2 linked regions of the Mytilus edulis genome follow. The protein of the gene in region 1 interacts with the protein of each later gene in a pairwise test. Links are inferred from orthologs where the notes say so. Each region holds a gene or a part of one and is shown in the gene's direction. Other genes may lie near its edges.

What was found.
Region 2: the proteins of centrosomal protein of 70 kDa-like (region 1) and bystin-like interact in binary tests that used the Homo sapiens proteins (3 or more experiments, as listed by UniProt). The link is inferred for Mytilus edulis from reciprocal best matches to the Homo sapiens genes CEP70 and BYSL.

Annotation. Positions count from the first base shown.
Region 1 is NC_092345.1:56,957,201-56,965,116, forward strand, and holds the start of centrosomal protein of 70 kDa-like, read left to right. Parts: upstream 1-4,895; 5' UTR 4,896-4,928; coding exon 4,929-4,964; intron 4,965-5,109; exon of another isoform or gene 5,110-5,230; coding exon of another isoform or gene 5,231-5,242; intron 5,243-7,916.
Region 2 is NC_092355.1:40,791,287-40,798,750, reverse strand, and holds the start of bystin-like, read left to right. Parts: upstream 1-4,455; 5' UTR 4,456-4,518; coding exon 4,519-4,665; intron 4,666-7,464. Other genes in the region: 17-beta-hydroxysteroid dehydrogenase 13-like, read right to left, coding at 1-133. UniProt on the Homo sapiens protein: Required for processing of 20S pre-rRNA precursor and biogenesis of 40S ribosomal subunits. May be required for trophinin-dependent regulation of cell adhesion during implantation of human embryos.

The DNA of each region.
Region 1 (7,916 bases):
TGTACACGGATGCCCCACTCGCACTATCATTTTCTATGTTCAGTGAAATTTGGGTCAAAACTTTAATTTGAAATTAAAATTAGAAAGATCACATCTTAGGGAACATGTGTACTAAATTTCAAGTTGATGTAACTTTAACTTCATCAAAAACTACCTTGACCAAAAACTTTAACCTGAACTTCGCACTATCATTTTCTATGTTCAGTGGACCATGAAATTGGGGTCAAAACTATAATTTGGCATTAAAATTAGAAAGATCATATCATTGGGAACATGTGTACTAAGTTTCAAGTTGATTGGACTTCAACTTCATCAAAAACTACCTTGACCAAAAACTTTAACCTGAAGCGAACGGATGCACGGACAGATGAACAGACAGACAAACAAATGAACAGACCAGAAAACATAATGCCCATTTCAAGTTGATTGGACTTCAGCTTCATCAAAAACTACATTGACCAAAAACGTTAACCTGAAGCGGGACAGACGGTCGGACGCACAGACCAGAAAACATAATGCCCCTCTACTATCGTGTGTGGGGTATAAAAAACGAACCACAACAACAGCTAGTATAGAAACTTAAGAAGTAGTAGCAGGAATTCTTCCACTGGACCTCAAAAGAAAAGAAACCGGTTTAAGGCAAATTGCAAAAATAAAATCATATAAAATCACTATCCCTATTAAACTAATTTTTGAATATTGAAAGAATATAAATGAACCTGAAAAAATAATCTCACCAATTGGAAGAATGGTATTACAGTCTGAAGACATGATGAGGTCAACAGAGATTGATTCTGAGGGTATAGATATAAAAAAAAAGATGTGGTATGATTGCCAATGAGACAACTGTACACAAGATACCAAAAATGACACAGACATTAACAACTATAGGTCACTGTATGGCCTTCAACAATGAGAAAAGCCCATACTGCATAGTCAGTTATAAAAGGGCGTGATATGACAATGTAAAACAATTCAAACGGCAGTGATTTTGCTAGCGATCGTCACTTTCGTAATTTACGAAAGAGTTTTCGCATTGACGAAAGTATTTCAAATCAATTTCGTCACTTAAATTTTGAAAGTGTAAAAAATATTTTCGCATTAAAATACTATAAAGGACTATAAATCTACCTGTTTCTATGTTTTTGACAAGTTTATGACCCTCAGGTAATTAACATTTTCAACAGGTGTTACAAGTTGTGATTACAACTAATCCGATTATCGCCATCAGATGGGTCACTAATCCGTTTATTATTAATAAACCTCATAGTTGACCATCATAATTATTTACTCAGGAAAATCAGTCAGTTGACATTTCAACAACCAGGTGTATATTATAGTTTCGTCATTTAATCGAAATGGTTACCCCCGGACAGTTCGCATTTGAAATTTCAATATTTCTCTAACGATCACAATTTGAAGATCATTTGTCGTAGATTCGTCATTCGAACGCATTTTCGTCATAATTGATATAAATTGCCATCAAAAACTTTCGACAATTTCTATTTAAAATATAGAACTGTATTCAAAACGTCGCGAGTTAAACAGGTGCTTCCTGTACTGTGTGCTACGCATGCGTGGAAGTACTTATGACTATTTATAGACTCTGAATAAAAATGTAAAATACGAAATCATTTAGATCAATTAAACGAGAGAGACAAATATATAGCTCTAACTAAAAAAAATTCAACCGAAAACTGATAAATTCCTGATGAATCCGGACTTTATCATCCACGTGTCACTTCCCGTTTTCGTTTCATTTTAAAACCGAAAGTAGTAAACGTGATCTATTCTTGATTTATTTACAACCTCCTTTCAGTCGTTGTACTCGTTCCAAAAGGATTTTATACAGTTCCAACTTAATAGAAAAGATTTCCAAATATTGATTTAGACTTTTTATAAGGATAATGATTATGCAGTGATATTATCATTGCAAGTTAATTTCTGCTGTGTACCCTTGTTTAAAAAAGAAATAAATCTTAACTTTTGTTGATCAGGAATGTCCTCTGGAACAAACTGAAGAGAAATTGTGAACTAAGTTTCCACATCCCATGTCAGAATCTTTCATAATAAGGGCCAAAAGTCAAATCATATAATACTGTTAGACTGCCAATCATGCCTAAGCCCTTTAAAATCTGACAAAGTCAAAGATGAAGCTAGTAATATAAATCCTTGGTCCCTTGCTGTTACACAAAAAAAAGGTTGATTTTCATAGCGCGCTAAAGTGACTAAAGCCCTCAAAATCCTAGCTTAAACCCTGTAAATCAAACGAGAAATCTAACGGCCTTATAGTATGAATTGGAATTCCGAGGGTTAGCAGCCTCAAAATCACCACCAGAGTATTGGAAAAATCTCAGAAGTTCAAAGTCTAGATCAAAGGAACAAGCTTTTCAGGGAAAGACTATTATTTTGAAAAAATATATCAACTAAAAAAAAATACAACAATAGCTTTCGCTGGTGGCTCCTGCAGAGGAAACCCAGGTTGTGGGCTGGGGAAGCTATTTTAATACCAAGCAGCACAGAACATGTGGAGTTAACACAGCCAGAAAACAACAGAAAAAACACAGAATCCATCAAAATTTTCTCAGACAGCCAATCAGCAATTGGAATTCTAACTTTAAATTGGAAATCGGTTAATTACGGCAACTATTCATGTTATTAAAATTGGTATTTGGCACTTAAATCTGAAGGAATCATTGTTTCCATTGAATGGACCCCTGGACGCGCTGAAATACAAGGTATTGAACTAGCAGACCAACTAGCTAAATAGGCAACACAGGAGGCAGAAAAAAATAGAAAGCATTCCAATAGTCACAAAACAAGATATATACAAAAAGGAGCAAAAGACAGTGTAATGTTAAAACGGCAAAACCGATGGGACAACAGTAGTAAAGGAAAAAGATATTATTCCTCCCAACAAAATGTAAAAAATACACTTCTAAAAGACAAACCATCAACTGAAATGTATCGGATATCAACTAGCTTAAGAACAGGATATTGTAATTTAAACTCGTACAAATCAATGATATGCCCAGCACTCAACAACAAATGCAGCTGTGGACAAAAAGAAACAGTTGACCTTTATCTACTGTATTGTGAACATTATGAGGAGGCTAGAGAGAAACTGTGCTCTGCACTTTACTTCATAACATCAAAACTAACACTTGAATCAGAAGTATTATTAGAAACAACAGAAATAATAGATGATATTCAACATTTGTTAGGGGTTTTTATTAAAAATACTGGAAGGTTCACAAAATAAATAGTTAAGGTTTTATAAGGGTTAATTATTTATTGATTTATTTTTTTATTTATTTTTTTATTTATTTTTCTCTGCGGTGCCACATCATAAATACAAACGTACTAATGAGTTTTATACAAAAGCGACATAAAATTACCAGAGTGATCTAAATGAATCCGGGTCCGTTCGCACACACTCATGTTCGCCCCCTTTCACTTTCGCACCCTACATGTTTGCACCCAAAGTCTGTTCGCACCCTACATGTTCGCCCCCAATTTTAATTGGTTTTGTGTTTGATAACTTTGTAATCAAATTTTTGTCAAGTGTATTCTAATAAGTATAATTGTTGTCATCGTCTCAAAATAAAGTGAGACAGCATTTTTTTGTGTTGAACAAATCTTAATCATGTTTTGGATAGTGTATTGTTAAAAAAATTAATAATCCTTTCTAAATAAAGTGGGATTCTGTCAACGTTTTATTTTGTGCTGAATAACTCTTAATCATGTTTTGGTTAGTGTATTGCTATAACTTTTGTTTCATTGACTTGTTTTAAAATAAAAGGAGATTCTGACTACGTTTTTTTCTTCTGTGTTGAATAAATGTTATCATGTTTTGGTTATAATAGTGTATTGCTATATTTAATTGTGTTATTGTTTCAGGTCAAAGGGACCAAGCTGTTAAAAACAATTATCTTTTGTGTTTTTCATTTAAAATCTTCAAAGTTTTACTCATATTAAGCTATAAATACATTCAGTATTTACACCAAAGCAACTTTAAACAACAATCATAATTTTCCAATTATTCAACTGGAATGTGAATTAAAATTGGGCACGAATGTGTAGAGTGCGAACGGACCTTGGGTGCGAACATGCGAGGTGCGAACGTGTAGGATGCGAAAGTGTTTTGGGCGCGAACGGACCTGATACCGATCTAATACAGAGAGATTATAGTGTCAAGTTGACACTCACTAAAGACTAAAGACATTTTGCACTAATTTTGTACACTGGCAATAGCGTAGTGATGTCAATGCAGAAATTCTTCATGTAAAAAGTACATTTACAAAGTCCTAACAAACTGACATGAATACCGATTATAGACTACGGAGTACGGCAGGATATGACGGCCGGAGAGGAGAACACTGCAACCGCAGAACTGATATATCACAAAAGTTCGTGATTGAGCGTTATTTCTCACAAATGCATTGGGTACTTTGTGTTATATTAAGGTATAGATACAAATGTACACATGTATATGTTACAAAATTCAGAAACATTTGCCTATGACTGTGTGGACAACCTGTCAACAAGGTAGGAGGATTTAAAAACTTTTGCAGAGGTTACCAGCTGGTTACATTTTGCATACAATTAAAATACTTTTACTGTTTAGCAGGTTTAAAAGTTCACTTTACCTTAAAGCATATAAAGGTATAAAAACACAGATTTTAGCGAAGAAGAATGAAACGATCTGCCTGGCAACACTTACACAAAATCCGGGCACTTGTTACTTCGTAAAGCCGCAGTGAATTTCGATCCAGTAATAACTATTTTCCCACTGTTTATACTTTTAAAATATGGTATGAAAAATTTACCTGTTAATTTTATTTTCGAAAATATTTTTTTTTATTGGAATTTCTTCCTTAAATTATTGAGTTTTTGTAAACAAAACAGTGTCGCATATGTAAACAACAATGGCGGCTTTTGGAAACAGATATTTTGAAAAATTGGTATTTGATTGAAATTATTGTACAAATCAATTTTTATATAGCTATAAAATGCTGATTTTGAACATGTTTTATCTAAGAAAGATGGATATTGTAACATATTCTGATAAGTTAACAAATAATCTGATGTCAGTGCCCGCTAAAATTTGAATTTCTTGGCCCACTTCAGGCACTTGCTTGGACATGTTTCCTATCCGTAACTTCGATAACACTTATTATACAGCTATGAAATTATTTTATTAAGAAGTACCTGAACGTTGATCGACATTATGCCTCGCAGAGTAAATATTTCACATTTGAATCACATTTTTACATTCTAAAAAATCAACAGAATTATAAATTTAATGTAACTCAATGCTACTGTAGTATACTGTGCAGTAGGTGGTCACTTACTAATGAAAATACACTTTGTCATTTGTGTAGTCCTTCTTTAAGTCAATAAATAAAAGTTGTTTTGACTTTATTCGGTCATTCTTGCAGGTATATACATTTTATTTTGATATTGAAATGATTTTTAGTGCATTTTTCATGATTAAAGGTGGCATTAACCCTCTTGCTGCCAAAGGGACATTTATGGCTTCTACACACAAATCTTGTTGATTGTGTAGAACGTCAAAGGTTCATTGTAACGTCACAATACTCAGGGGCACTGACAACGTCAAAATACGGCGTCAAAAGGGCGATTTTGGCGGGAATGAAGCAAACTGAATAAAATGCTTTAAAAGGATACTTAAAACGGATGTCAAGAAATGATACAGGATCATAAGCTTGTTAGTACTATAATACCAACTTATTTAACGTGTTAACTAATTATCTAGTTCGTCATTTTCATGTAAAATGTTGCATTTTGTCGAGAAATTTACGTTTTTTTTCGTACATCTATCAATCAGAATATCTCATATAAAGAAAAAATCTTATCCCTGATAAAAAATCATAAAAAAGATAACTGTTATACTTGATGACGTTAAATATTAATAATCATTCACAATACTCCATACACGCTTTATTTAAAAGAACTAGATAATTTATTTAGGGCTCAAATACTACGATTGACATAGGATTTTTTTTGTAAAAGTACACACATGTTAACCGATGTACTTGTATTGCCATACGATATTTCAATACATTTTAAACCTGTTTCATCAAGGAAGCACTGCCTTAAAAATGTTTATTTTCATTCGAAATGGGGATGTTAAATTAGAAGTAGACACAATGATTTCCATTCCTATCATATATATCATAGATGTCCATTCCCAGATGCAACCTCTTTTTTCTGGCATTCACCACAGATCTTTTACTTTGTAGGACTGCTGTTCAAAACTCATAAATCTATGGACAAAAAACAAAATCGGGGTAACAAACTAAAACTGAGGGAAACGCATTAAATATTAGAGGAGAACAACGACACAACATTAAAATGTAACACACACAGCAACGGACTAAGCATTAGACAACATCCGATGAGAACAATTTATCAATTAACAGATGCTCGGAGATTTTATTTATTTTTATGAATTTGCACACGCTTTGTTTATATTTTCATTTTCATTGAGTGCCGTTGTTTTGCCGTTTATATATGATTTGAGAGATTTTTTTACAGTATTTATACCAATTATCTAATAAAAAAACGAGAATAAATATTTTACTATTTTATAAGTGGTTAAGAATCATTTATGCATTTCACTTGACAAAGATAAAACAAAGTCGCCTTTAAAGCTAGTATAGCAATCGGTATATTATTTTCACTTTATTTTAAGACAAGAAAGATAAAAAAAAATATATTACAAGGTTAAAAGTTGTATTTTTAAATAATCTTGTATTAAAAACATCGTTTATGACAATCTTGGAGCATATTTAATCTGTAAAATTACTTATACATCGTTTTCATAATTACGGCTACATTGACGCAGGAAAAATCATGGACGGCGGGAAAGCGCAGTTCTACAGAGAGGCACAAGTTTTGCAACGTCACACATAAGAAACTTCAAGATGCTTTTGGCGCGACAAAGCAAGAAAAAAACTCGGCAGCAAGAGGGTTAATGCACACACATACTGTATGTAAAAGTGACTGTTTACATTCATTTTGAAATGTTTATCTATGCTATTATCATCACATGAATTGGGAAAACACATTCAAATTATGAATATGTTGATAAGGTCGGTAGCATGAAGCTCATACAACTTACAATACAGCTTTTAATTATTTGTTGTTTTGAAACATTCAAGCTAGTTTCCATCATCATCAAGGTTTCAAGTTATGTCCTTCACCAAAAAAGTTTCAATTATACATGTATATGCATGCATTTATGATGTCATTTACCTAATAAAGGGAATCATGTGCCTGTATTCCTGAACTTTTATAAAAGTTCATCAAGGGTTTAGTAAATGTCATTATGCAGGATAAAGTACAAATAATGTTTGCTTTGTAGGTACTTATCACCCACTCTCTTAACATGGGACGGAAGTGATAATGCTCCAAAACGCATGAAATTCATTCAGAATGATGTTCACTAAAACCAAAGTTTTTTTATGGAAATGCAAAGAACTTGAAAGTGGTCTATAGGTTTCCTGTACAAATATTACATTCCTTTTGAGAAAATGTCCAGGGGTTTGAAGAGGAGGTTTCAGTTCTGGTAGCTATGTCTTGATAACCTTGCATCAAAATGTAGCAGTTTTTATATACATGTGTCTAACAAAATGATTGCCATCATCAACTAAGAAGACAATAATCCTAATATCATGTCCAACAGTAAAACTATTAGCAGCTTTTATACTGTCTGACATGGACATTAGGTCATGCTCCTTTGGATTTGTCAGCCTAAAAATCAGATATATTAGGCCAAAAGATCAGATAGATTAATAAGAAACCTCTTTTATTGTCAAAATTTAATCTTTATATATTGTAAAGTTGAAAACTTATTTGGTATTTGTGTGTGTGATTAAAACTGTTATGCT
Region 2 (7,464 bases), on another chromosome or scaffold:
GTACAATTTTCCCGGCAATACTCTTGGGCTTGGCAGGAATAAATGCTGATATAAGAGCGTCAATATAATAATAAAATAGTCTTGGGAAGAAAATGCAGACGAAAAATATTAGTTTTTCAACAACTGTTGCCATTTCGTCTGTTTACCTGTTAACGACATGAAATGGAAAAACCCAAGAAGGTTTCGAATTCAACAAAATGAGAATGAATAAAGGAATGATAAATATGATCAAACAGGATTTCCGCACTCATTAAAATCACTCGAGGGGCACAGTGTTAGTTTTGCGACAATATTTTCCATCCTATGCAGGATATATATAAGAGACAATATCTAAAAAATTGTAAATTTTTAGTAGAAACTAAGTTATATAATGCACCATGTCCTGCCAATTAAACACTCATTCTTATATTTCTTCCAATAAAATATTGTAATTTAAATGTTCAACCCCCCTAAAATCATGTTGTCCCCTGTGTTTTTTTGAAAACTAAATCATTCAAATAATATCCAAATTAATTAAACAGGCGTCTGATTCTCACATATATGATATATTATATAATAAACTTGCCCCTAATTTGTCTTTTTATATTATAACTATAGCATGTAATAAAATTTTGCAAATTTTAAGAGAAAACAAATTTGTCCCCAGGGGTGATTTGCCTCCTGTTACCACTGGTTTTTTTTTTACCTGTGGAAACGTTTACAAGACCAAGAGTTATTTTCCCATTATGTATTGTGAAGAGCATCATTATGACAGTTTTTGTCCATTCGTTTTTGATGCGTTTTGTTATTTGATTTTGCCATGTGATTATGGACTTTCCCAATTGATCTTCCTCTAAGTTCAGTATTTTTGTGATTTTACTTTTTCCTGAATGCATTAGTACAAAGAAATAGTTGGAAGGCGGCCAGGTTTGAAAATTCAAGCCCATCCAAGGTAAGAATTTATAGAAAAATACTTATTGGTGTTCTATCCTGTTACAGCCTTTTCTTACACTTTCTGAGAATATTTTTAAGTGTGCACCACAGCATTAAGTGTGTTTTTATATCATCTTTTTAAAAGTTATATGTCACAGGAAATACACTTACATTTAATGTGATAAAAAGGACAAAAACTATCGCGTAATTCCTTTCTGTTACGTTCCGTCATGTTACCTGGTAAAAAGTAACAGCATAACCATCATCAGTAACAGGAAGGATGTTCAAGACAATGTCACTGAAGAATCGAAAAGTTAATCTACTATATGCCAACCATTTCATTTAATATAAGTTATCACCACCATATTAAATAAATTTCAAAATAAGATAAAGTATATTGAATAAAAAAATTGTTTTTTTGCTTTTGATAACAGCAGAGAACATTGTGCAATTCTAGTTTAGTAGATGGTAACAGAAAGGAATTTATTTTAGAATTTTTCATTACCTAGGCAGATTTTTCATCTTGCAAATACAGTTTCAAAGGATAAATGACATTGTTTGCTGTTATCTTCCAATTGTGACCAATTTAAAATGATGTATTTTTCTTAAACTTTAAAATAAAGCAGAAAAATCCTTTCTGTTACCAACTCTGTCCTCTTACCGTTGTGCTGTTACTCAAGATTCTTTCATGTTACCGACATATGACATATCTGACTATATTTAAGTATATTTCTAAACCTTTTGTATTGCAAATGCTAAAATCAATAATTGGCATTTGATAAACTATTGCAGGATATACTAGTAAACCACAAATATTGTCTTAAACTTATTCCTTATTCCCATTAGAAACTTTTTAAAATTGATTCACTTTGGTAACAGGAAAGAACTGGATTTTTTTTGTACCATTTTTATAATAGCCATTGTTTCCTTATTAAACAATTGTTTGAATTACAGACAACAGTTCCTAGATCCCCAATGTGTGTTCTTCGATTTGTGCTATTAAAATACTGGGTCTAAACAAAAAATTTTTGTTTTTTCTTATTTCCAAAAATTAGACTTTTTCAGATATTGTCTCATATAAGATAAGATATCTCATATATTTTATTTCCAATTTAGGGCCCACAAGGGATAGAGAATACAAGTATAAGGGAACAGAACATTGATTATCATAGATCTATGCATATAGAATTTAAATTACATACACAATTACAATACAATTAGACTGTAAATAATAAAACACTTGGTTTAAAATATATATGATATATCTATATGAGAAATTATTACATCTAACTCATATTGATTTGAATATGAAGAAGGGGATGAAATAATTTTAATTACATGTTAAAAAAAATTGGGTGCTGAACGAATCTTTATGTTAAGAAGTGATTTGGTCCAGTTAAAAATGTATAATTTTAGTACGTCTGAAGCTGTCAAACTGAATTATGACCCCCTTATCACAGAATAGTCATTATTTTGAGTTAGAGCTGGTAGAGGTTTCTATAATTTTGATATTATTTGTCCCACTAGTAGTATACTACATTGTAATATCTTTTTGAGAAAGAGCAGGTGCGATTTTTTCAATTTGAATTTATTGTCTAAAAGAAATGCACTACGAAATAACTGTGTTCTCGGGCCAGTTGAAAGCCAGCTACAACTAAACAAAATTGACAAATATCACGACTTTTGTGTCTAATCTAGTATTTGTTGATAGAAACGAAATGATCTGAACCAAAGTTTTAGATATCTTTTCTATATAAAAAGGGGCATTCAATTATATCCAATACTCCATTCACTAGGGATGATATACTAGTGTACACATGACATTTGATAATTTTAAGAGAGTTTTGACGGCTTCTCTCGGCTGGCGAGCATAACTTTGTTTATTTTTTTTATAAAATAAAAATATTTTTGAAAACAATTTGTGTAGACACGTGCCTAACGTGACTAACGGTAACTACGCTCATTCAAGAGGGTTCGACGACTTACAGAAAAGAGCGACGATTTACAGAAAAGAACCGAAAAGGACCGAAAAGGACCAAAAAGAACCGAAAAGGACCGAAAAGAACCGAAAAGGATATCGACTTTTTTTGTAATCGAAGGAAATAAGCAAATTGCAAATCATTGAAAACCTTATACTGTGAGAGGACTAATTTTAACTCACATGTATGTGAAAAATTACAGGTAGGGTTGGATGCCTATTTTATAGAATAGAAAAATAGAAAAGATTTTTTTTTATTCACCAAATAAGGGCCCCTAGGAGGGCATATAGCCATACAAACAATATATATATATATATATATGCAATACACAGACAATAGATAGATATGTAATATGAGTAATGAAAAAATACTACAGGAAACACGCAACAAAATAATAGCAATATACTCTAATAATTCAATAATACTAGTGTTGACATTGACTTATGCGCTCCAGGTTTATTAGTGTATTTTACCTATAAAAAGATAAACAATTTTCTAAATATTTACCTTAACAAGGACTGTTGGCAGTCAAAACTTTAACACTATAAAAAATCCATGTATATATACATGGTTTTAACTTTATTTAATAAATATATATGTATTCCTTTTCGGTTCTTTTCGGTCCATTTTCGGTTCTTTTTGGTCCTTTTCGGTTCTTTTCGGTTCTTTTCTGTAAATCGTCGCTCTTTTCTGTAAATCGTTGGACCGCATTCAAGAAACAACGTAACTGTATGCATGGGAATAATAGTTTGTATGTTTGCTTAGTCCAGACTCCAGGTTAGGGAAATCGTATTACAAGTATTTGAATGTAATACATGGAAGGGTTGAAATTCCGTGTACGTCTTATTTGACTATAAATAAAAAGATACCTACAAATCGCGTATGTCGACCAAAGTAAATAAATCGGTCAGTGGTAAACTCAGTGAATGTGACATTATGTTTTGATTTTTTCCTGAAAATATAAATATTGATATGAATAGGTCTTTCCAAAGCTCTGATAGGGGCAATGCAGAATATTTGGCCACGTGGCCATCACCAGAAAAATAAAAAAATAAATTCAGTGGTACAATAAATTCCACAACGGCTTACCATACGAAATAGTTATGTTTGCCAGATATCGGTCATTGCCAGCCCAAATTAAGTTTGTGTTGTCCCTAATCATGCTAATACGATTCCGTAGGATTAAGTCTATTCACAGGGATGAAATTATTTTGGCAAATTCAGGAACTATCAAAAGAAAATTTTATTCAAAATTTAATATTAAATGGTTTATAATCATTAAATACTTCAAACTTTCCTTAAATACTTGTCTGGGTCGATATAAGATGGTCCGAGTTGACTTAACATAATCGGTCCAAAACTTCTCCGAACCGACTTGTCCAATAATCTTTTTAACGCTAAGGTAACATTGATGTTGATTTTTTAATACTTATAAATGATTTTTTAATTTAAAAAAATCGGCGTATGAAGTTAATTAGCAGTTTTAGCTGATTTTGATCACAGTATGATTCCGGTACTAATTTGTATAATACAATCATTCCTTTATTCGCACACTGTGGATTTTCGGAACTTCTCTGGACCTAACGATCTCTTCCATATTAATTGTCAACACGTGAAACCTGTAAACATGGGAAAGGCAAAGAAAGTTAAAGTATCTAAAACTGAGGGCGAAACCGACAAAACCCAAACACTTGCAGATCAGATCTTAACAGATAAATCAGTTAAACTCAAAGGCCGAAATAAAATTCGTAACAGAAAGGACGAAGATGATTCGGTATAAACATGATATAAAGCATGATAAATGCTTTATTACATAAATTAGGAGATTTAATGTTAATCAAACTAGTAGCAGATGAGACAACACCAGAGTGCTAATGACGTGGACACAAGAAATTAAAAGTCATCTAAGGTTTTCAACAATGCAAAATACTAAACAGTCGATCAGCTATAACATGATAAATATTAGTCCAAATAATTATGACGTCTTGAAAGGCTATTATAATTTTTTTCTTTGACGCCTTACAAAAAATTATAATAGCCTTTCAAGACGTCATAATTATTTGGACTAGATAAATATAGTGCCCAGACAAGAGACAGGCTTATAAAATAGGTCATTTCTGGGGTAAATAATAAATAAATAAGCTTTATATAGAGTTGGCAAGGTATACAAACAAAGACAACATTAGCTCTAATGAGCTTTTAACCGATATGACATGGTCATGGGTACAAACCAAATCAGATCCGGGTCAATTCAGCTAAAGTGTGGCACGTTAAAACATATTTTGTGAGATCTCCCAATACCTCTAGCCAATGACGAAAAAACAAACACACAGCAATATGAATCCGGGTCCGTTCGCCCTGATTCATGTTCGCCCTAGTACCTGTTCGCCCTGATACCTGTTCGCCCAGGGTCCATTCGCCCTGATTTTTCTTTTTTTTTCTTATTGTTGTCTAGTCGCATTATTTTAAGTATTTGAACAAAATATGTTAAGTTTGTTGAAAAATTGACAGAATATTTATATTGCCGCAATCAATTTATCATTTTCACTTTGATTTGCAGAGTAGAATACTGGAATACAATGTATTTATCTTTATTGATATTTGTTAACAAAATAATTGTATTCAGTCAATCACAAATGTATGCAGTATGACTAGTCTTAGAGTATAAATAAATGAACTTGTAAATCCTTTTCATAATTAACAGTTCGTACATCATTGTTTTTATTAATTTCAAGCTGAATATTTTATCAAAACAAAACGTTTGTTTTTATTATTAATTCATCAAAAGACAATGACAATAATCAGTGATTATTTTGTCATTGAACAATTAACGATCCTAAACAAGCCATAAACTTTTAAATATTTCAATGTTTCCATAAATTTCAAGAATATACAAGATAAATATATCATAGAAATATCTGAATAAGTTTATTCAACTTCAATGCCCTGAATATTAATATTTTTATAGGAGGGCGAACGAACTCTGAGCAAACGGACCTAGGGCGAACATGTTATAGGGCGAACAGTCCCGATACCCAGCAATATGCACAGTAAAAATCAGCTTAAAAGAAGTCTGTGTCAGAATAGGTATCAAAAGAAACTAAGAAAAATGACATAATGTCTTTATTTTATTATGATGCCTCTTATTTTCTTGAATAACTTGTTTAAGTTCCATGTACATTGTAGCTATAGACCTTTGGCTGATAAATACCTCGGCAGTCCAATTAATTATTGTAACAACCTAAACTTCAAAACAGCAGAAATAAGTCCATATGAAACATTCATTCAAGAAAACAGTTTTTTTTTTGAGGAATGTGCATGCGCGTGGTACACCATTTACTTCAAGGTCAATCAGGCGCGTAGCTCCCTATACGCCAACACGCAGTTGCGTGCACATCAATTCGGCATGCAAAAAAAATAAATTGCAAAATAAAAATTTATAAATTAAAAATATAAAGGATACACATACGAGTATTCAAATGATATAATGTCATTAAATAGCGGCATTTGGTTTCAAAATTAAAGTTTTATTGCAGATGACAAAAACGGACAGTAACTTGAATCTATTACAAGATTATAATTTGTTATACTCTTGTAGTTTCGGAGAACATTTTACAGAGTACGGTTTATCTGTTTCGAATGCGATGTACCAATCGGCCATTAGATTTATCAGAACCCTTCGATATCGTTAAATATGCCGATGCAATGTGACTATCAAAGCCAATCACCCTGCAAACACGCAAAAACAGTCTTGGAAAGTCTCATTATATTTTGCGTCCATAGACCACATGATAATTTACGAGTAATATCTTTAATTAATATTCTTTAATATTGTTAAAAGTAGTATAACACTATAAAACGTAGCATAACACCAGCAACTGTCTTTTTCTCGGGATATATCAGTTTGTTTTGGGGATATAATGTTTTTCTTGTATTTCTCGGGAAATCGTGGTACCGGAAAATTGTTTGTTTTTCGGGTTTTGGCCATAGGACGGTTAATTAAGAAGCTACATGTACATAGGTACATGATAATTTATGGAACTGGAGTCGCGTCTGATATCAGTCAGAAAAATCACTGCTTTGCGCATATCTGCTTCCTCGTGTTGTAGGAAATACAACAAACGAACAAATCACAGCATTGTTTGAGACAAAAGAAACTGACTTGTCATGTACATTTTGTAATTTTGACAAATTCAATCGGGAGGTCGCTTGATGGCGAACACGCTGGATTACATATCGCGGGTGCTACCGCAGAGAGATCGTTCATTGTACTACGTCTGTTGAAAACATATGTACGATTAACAACGAACAACGACGGTTTAGCATCGCTAGCATTGCTGCATATTCATCGGGATTTTTGTGTGATTATTGACAAAGTAATAAAGAAGTTCGTTTCTGCTAAGACCCGAAGGGCAGATTTTTGACAATTTTTAGTAAATTCCATAACACAAAAATGTGTTGTTTATGTATTCAATTAACCATGCTTTATTCTATTTAGATGTTCTATTCAGAAGATTTTTGAATAGTTTTGCATTCATGAATTATGTATAAGTCCTATGTACGTCATGTAGCT